Caenorhabditis elegans: one gene and its partner. The protein of the gene in region 2 purifies or fractionates together with the protein of the main gene of each other region. This does not show direct contact. Each region holds a gene or a part of one and is shown on either strand. Other genes may lie near its edges.

Region 1 (3,193 bases), on a different chromosome or scaffold from region 2:
TCTTATGATCTACCTGTAAATATGCTGGTAATCTTTTCATGAGAAGGTTTTAAAACATAGAGATTTTCAGTTAAAGAGAAACACTGTTTGTTGTTAACGTACATAGAGTGAACCTTTTCTTGTGACTGAAATTTACATGAGGTTTACTGACCAAGTTAAATTTGCATTGAACAATTTGGTGTAATCACTGAGCAGGTTTACTTTGCACGGACCAATTTGGTGTAAGCACTGACCAACTTTGAGTTGCACTGATCGATTTCAATTCGCACTGACCAAGTTTAGTTTTAATTAACCAAATTTTGATTTGAACCAACCAATATCATATGCGCTGACAAGATGTATGTGAAAATGTAACAATGTTCTTTGAAAAATTCAATAATCTTGTCATTTAAATTACTTAATTAAGTAACTCTGAACATTTATAAGTTTTTTAAAACAAATTTCACCTGCACTTTACTATCACATTAAACTTTATAAATCCCACGCGTTTTCCCGTTCATGTACGCCGTTACATCATAGCTGCAGCTGATTTTGTTGGAATTCGACATTTGAAGTATTTATAAAAACAATGTTTTAGTGTCTAGACAGGAATGAAACTATACAGTTAAATGGATGTGATGACTAGACATTTCATCCAGTTGGCGCTCATCGTTGACTTCCCTCGGTTGGGCTTCCGTTTGCACTGCTCTCAAACCAAAAAGAAAGATAAGAATGCTATTTCCATATGCTAGAGTTGCCATATTAATTGTTATATATCCTTTGACACATCGAAGTGTGAACACTGCAACTAATGCCCGGAATGCAGTGATTTGGTTTTCGTTCACTTTGCATGTACCATCACTGACACTGAGGATGAAGTCGAGTTGAGTGTCTTTAAAATCAAATTCAGCATAAAACTTTTCGAGCAAAAAATACCTCCTGTAAAAGACGAAATGTGAACAATTTCCACGAGAACAAAGATAAAGCGAACTGCACAAATAATTGAGATGGGCCAGTGGAGTCTTGGGAAAGATGTAGAGATGCTTGAAATTCATTATGTGATACACATGTAAAAGTACAATTTCTCACCCCAATACGACACACTGAACAGCCAAGAATACACTTAAGACCAGATCGAAGGTACGTATGATACCCATGTAGGTAGCAACAAAGCTGTCTTGTTTGGGGAAACAAATGTAGACCAGTTTTCGCGGGTAGTGTGGATCGACTCTCGGATAGGTCTCTGAAAATGTTTAATTGATAAAATTGGTTGATAATTTATATACTTACTCTCCAGATATAAAATGGAAATATAGAGGCAAACAATGGCAACTGAAAATATGAGAAGAGTTAGACGTAAAGTCATTTGAAGAGCATTTAGTGAATTTGAACGCAAGTCTTTAACCATTTCTTTTGGTAGTTTGGTGAGATTCTGAAAATTGAGGTTTTTTTCACAGAAGATAGTTGTCAATAGATAAGATTTAGAGAATATGAACGTTCAGTGATATATTTTTTTAATAGCACACAGACAAAAACCAAATAGACAAAAATTGTCTCAACATTAGCTGTAGTTTCTATTTAAAAACTGAACAAAATGCAAATACAATCACATGGTTTTTGAAGCGCCAAAACCGTTGTAGCAATTCTGCATAATCTTCCTCACAGCACTCATTTCAGTACAGAAAGCCGAGAAAATTACAAGCGTTTCATTAGCATCAGAAAAATTCTGCCTGCAAAAAGAATGCGAGAACGAGCGATTGTGTAAATTAGAATGGAATGGGATTTGGCACCACTTTTCAAGAAATATAAAATGTTGGGCGTGCTGGAAAGAGTATGCCCCATACTTCACGAACTTATAATTTTCAAAAATATTTTCCAGCTGCTTCTTTTAAGCGAATATACTTCTTGATCATGAAATTGACCGTTTTTTTTAGACGAAAAGAACCAGTTGACATAACAGCTCTCCTGAAAGACATCTTGAAATTTTTTAGATACCATATTTTTGCAATGTTTTGCATTCTTATTATAAATGCTCTAATTGTGAGATGCGAGCGTTAAAAATAAATTTTCAAATTTGTTTTGCATCCTTATTTGTATTGCATTCCCATTTGTTTTGAAGAATTTTTAAAAGATGTTAGCTGCTTATTTTAAGAAAAGTCATGAACATGTTTTAATTCAAACGTATATTTTATGGTAAGAATTTGAATTCGATCAATGTTTCACTCAAAAAAAAATTAAATTGTGTTCGGCAGTTCGGAAATTATGTATATTGATTTATCGAAAAAATTTTAAACTTGCAAAAATATATCAAAATTTATAGATTATCAAATATAAACTATGAACATAGAAATATCCATTATAACACTCACACTATAAAAACTATGTACACTTTTGATCATTTTTTGAAGTTTTATTTTCAAAAGCTGACAAAAATTATTAAACTTGGTAACTGTCGAATTGCCGGGTTGCCGAATTTTCAAACTGTCAAAACTAAACTGCCGATTTCAAAGAATATCTTAATTGAGTACTTGTGTAGTGCACCATTCTATCTGTTCATTTCTATTTAAATTATAATTTTATCAAAACGTGAAATTACTTTGCATTTTTAGGCTTAGAAAAACACTACATCGAATCCTACTAAAAATTCCAATAACTTTCAAACCCATTTATATTCAAAATATTAAACAATTCAACCTTGACATCATTTGTCATTCTAGTGTTCCGTCAATCAGTTGCTTTAAAAAGGCTTTGAAATTTTTTGAAATTTTTTTGAAAGCTTTGAAATTTGAGGGACAAGTATAAATTTTGCAACAAATCATAGATTAATGTTTTTAATTTTATGCATTTCGAAAATTTTAAAGAAATTTATACTGTCGATAAGCATCTAGTTTGGTTGTTGTGATTACCGCGCACTTCTGGTTGTAATCAAAAGCATAGAACAAACACTGTAACATAATCTGTAAACGCACTAAAAAATTGAAAAACACGTTTCTTCCAATGTGAAACAGCACAATATTTCTTCGATGGACAGAAAAATAGTTTAACAATTCTTCCACATTTTTTCTTACTTTGCTGACCACATTTCATTTTCTTCTTTCTGGAAATTATTATCGGATAAATTTTCTGATCTTCAACTGCAAAGAAACAAAGGGCACGCAACTTTCAGAACATATTCTTGAAATACACGGAAGTAGGATAATATTGAAAATTTAGC
Region 2 (3,986 bases):
TTTTGAATTCATCACGTGTATGTTCTGCCATCTCTTCTTCTTCTTATTTTTTTCAATTTGATCGCAAAATTCGATCGAAAACGTGACCTTTACCTTTTGAACGGTGTATTCGTTATCTCATCGGTTTCCCCATCATTACTTGACTGTGATGGGGAACACGGCGAATTCGAATTCGAAACAACCAGCAACGAGTGCCGCGCAGATGTCGGTCGACCCAAAAGGTAGTGAAACACTGAAAAATTTGGCAAGTTTCTCAGCAGGTGACCTGATAAACACGAAAGTTGTTTCGTTGCGATCGGGTATTATACGTTTACTTTTTGATTAGTTGTACATGGTTGGTTGGTTAACATGGTTGGTTAACCAACCACCACGTCATCTTATTTTTTAGATATCAATTCCATAGTGTACGATGAAAGTCAGTCGAAAGTATAAGCCCAGTTTAGCATTCAAGTAAATTTTTCAATAACTAAGATACCGTTTTTATATGCTCACTAATGTTTCTTATATAGATCACACAATCAGAAGATATTCGGAGCATTTCGTAGTAACCTGTTCATTCCATGAAAAAAGTATTTGCGATCAAAAATTCAGTGGTTTCATATAGGAGAGACCATGATCATGAATAAACAAACAAGAGTGTCTCGCTTTCTAGTCATAGACTATCACTTCCAATCTATACTCTTTTTTATCATTCCTTTCAATTTATTTACTTTCTTCTTTCAACCTAGACTTTTCTTCTTCGATAAACTGGAATAATCGAACTTTGTGAAGCATCAACTTGTCGTTTGGCACATCTTCTAAAAAGTTTGTTACATAGGCTATGATGTCTGCGTGTTTTTCAGAAGTTGGTAGATTTGCTGTTGAGTTAGGTGTTTTTGCAGAGCAGGTTGAAGGAGCCGAAGAATTCAATTGTATACTTGTACAACTTGTAGATTGCTGACATGTAACCGTATCTATAACTTTTTGAAGCCAGTCATCTGAAAAATTACTTGTAATTTACATACACTTTAAATCACAGTTCAGACCATTCAACTTGTCTTCTGATAGCTCATGCTCAATCTTTGGCTTTTTTGCTTTTACTTGTTGATCATCGGCTTCTGCATTGCAAGTCGTTAATGTCAATTTTGACAAGCTGGAAAAAGGTTTCCGTTTCGGAAATCTAGATCATTTCATACCTGTCTGTTTTTTCCAAATAAGGAATAAGGAATTGTAGACAATCGTAGAACGGAACTATAGACTTGGACTTCTCATCATTCTTATCACCACCATTTCTAATCATTTTTTCAAAATCATTGAATAGGTATAACCATAACTTTTCGGCGTTTCTACCTGTAAGTTGATGTGGTGTTCATAAACATGTTTATTCCTGTTCACATGTTTACAGTCCAAATCAAAAACAGTCTTTCTCTTTTCGTAAATCACATTTTCAAAACTAAAAACTAACCTTTCCTCATTGCAAGAAAATGTCCACATTTTTTCTCTATAATATAAAACGCTTTCTGTCGAAAATCACTATTCTTCTTGCACGGACTGTATAATTCTTCTCTTCCAGAAAACAATGATATGAAAAAGTCGATGTCAGATCTTCTATACGCGTCATAATGTGAGAAAGGAGGGATCTTTGATGGTCGACCCATTTTTCGTTTCTGCTCCGCTGAGCCAAACTCTAGTAAATCCTAAATTTTTTTGATTTGGAAAACCACGTGAAAAACGTAGATCCTAGCTTTTCAGACTTACTATGAACTTCTCCATATTTTCAAAGCGGTAGAGACCAAATATTAGAAATAAAAGTGGAGAAACTTATGAAAATCGGGATCGCCAGATGTTATTAGAAAGTGAAGAAATGCTAAGAAAATATATGAAAGTGCGCAAAATTTGAGACGCAGATTTTAGAGCGTCGAGAAAAAGACTCGTTTCGAGCGACCCAGTTCAAAATCTCCAATTATTGTAAACTATTTCCTCCCTTCTCCAACATCTCTCTCAGTTTTGTCAGAGTGTTGTGTGTTGACAACACCAACAACTCCCCCCGTTTTTCGTTTTGATTCTTTCTTTTCATCACGAATTCAATTTACTGTAGATTGTCATACAATTCATTCCAATAATGAAATGGAAAACTAGTTCAAAATATTCAAAACCAACATCACTAAAAGTGAAAGATATTTGTTGATCTTAAAACAACACATGTTCCTCATACATTTCATCATAGAGATATTGACTCATCCTCCGCATCATCCTCATTTTCCTTAGTTTTTGTTCCGAAAGTTTCATATAAAAACCCTAGGACTAAACTCTCCTTGTCCCATTCTATCAATTTCTCAACTCTTATATTGATTCTCCAATATATATATTTTCAGGAAAGAACATGTCTCTTTTGGCTGGAGTGAAACTTGAAAAACGCGACAAAACGTTGGTCGACGCAACTGAAGCTCTAGCTGGAAAGGCCGTCGGATTCTACTTCTCGGCTCATTGGTGCCCACCGTGCCGCGGCTTCACACCAATTCTCAAGGATTTCTATGAGGAGGTTGAAGATGAGTTCGAGGTCGTCTTCGTCTCTTTCGATCGTAGCGAGAGTGATCTGAAAATGTATATGAGCGAGCACGGTGATTGGTACCATATCCCATATGGAAATGATGCCATCAAGTAAGTTATAACTCTATAAAATCCTCTTTAACTAGTTTTTTCCAGGGAACTTTCCACCAAGTACGGAGTTTCCGGAATCCCAGCTCTCATCATCGTCAAGCCAGACGGTACTGAAGTAACAAAGGATGGACGTAACGATGTGCAAAATGGAAAGGATCCAAAGGCCACCGTCGCCAAGTGGAAGGCTTAAGCCGAATCTGCCGACATAATTCTCTGCAATGCATCTTTCTCGATTTGTTCAACCATTTTGAAGCCATTCCCATCTAAACATCCATTTGCAATACCCATCTCTCCTATGATCCTAAAATATTTCTCTTTTGTATGGAAATTGGCAGTAAACAATAATAAATATATTTATTGATTCCATGCGATTCTTCATTTGTTTTTCAGTATATCAATTACGAATTGTTCTCTTCAAAAGTCAGTGTAAACAAAGGGAATGATGTGTGAACGTTTAATTGGTCAGTTGGAAAGATTTTAACTTGTCCATCATAGCTGACGTACAAGAAAACAATTGTTCTTTCTACGAAGGTTTTAAGATATTTAACAGCTCAAAAAATAATTATGACTACTAGAGATCTATAGATACTTGAACATAGTAAGCAAACACTCTTTGAAACCACAACATAATTCTGAAAATACCCTTTTTCAGACCACAAGAGTACATCACACCTTATCCGGTCTTTGTTGCCTTGACAACATCTTCAATCTCTTCTTTTTATTCACTATTTCCCTTTTGGATTTTGCTGCTCCATTCTTCTCCATTTGCGTCACAACACCACCTGCCTCTCGTTTCCGCCCATCTGACAATGTTTCTATTTCTCTTTCATTCACATTCCAAAGCTTCTAACGATTTTTTTCGTCTTTTCAGCTTATTACTTTTCCAAAAAAAATTAATAAAATGACGATAGCAGCTGCACACATTCAATCACCTTGTCTTCTTCGGTGCGCGGTGACTCGAAGAGTAGTCAGACCCCGCCCACTTTTCAGTCCCGTCTCGTCGTTCTCAACCTCTTTTTTCTTATTCATCAATCTTCTCGTTTTCTTCCCACTTCAAATCACACAAACACAGGCACAAAATATTCTAACTTGACTGATATTAGCTGTAGACATAAATCTATATAATAGAGAAGAGACGAGAAAAAGGAAAAGATGAACGAAGAAATTGAAATGAGCAGTATGGTAGGTTCTGGAATAATTGAAATAAAAACAATTATATTTGATAATTGAACTATCACGTTTTTTAATCAATCAACTACATTATTTATTGCCAACATTTGGTAGTAATAGAGCTTCTACGACAACACCCAAAATAGGAAAGGGAAAGTAGACTTGTTTTTCATTAA

Evidence for each region.
Region 1: the proteins of txt-18 (region 2) and C10A4.6 fractionate together in Caenorhabditis elegans (co-fractionation; one large-scale study listed by BioGRID). This does not show direct contact.

Annotation. Positions count from the first base shown.
Region 1 is NC_003284.9:7,388,794-7,391,986, reverse strand, and holds C10A4.6 (G protein-coupled receptor), read right to left. Parts: upstream 1,418-3,193; 5' UTR 1,388-1,417; coding exon 1,270-1,387; intron 1,223-1,269; coding exon 1,069-1,222; intron 1,023-1,068; coding exon 916-1,022; intron 872-915; coding exon 597-871; 3' UTR 545-596; downstream 1-544.
Region 2 is NC_003280.10:6,342,074-6,346,059, reverse strand, and holds txt-18 (transcellular chaperone signaling (x)cross tissue), read right to left. Parts: upstream 1,989-3,986; 5' UTR 1,753-1,988; coding exon 1,738-1,752; intron 1,677-1,737; coding exon 1,445-1,676; intron 1,330-1,444; coding exon 1,176-1,329; intron 1,133-1,175; coding exon 1,026-1,132; intron 978-1,025; coding exon 703-977; 3' UTR 545-702; downstream 1-544. Other genes in the region: C32D5.8 (protein-disulfide reductase), read left to right, coding at 149-221, 2,355-2,640, 2,686-2,830.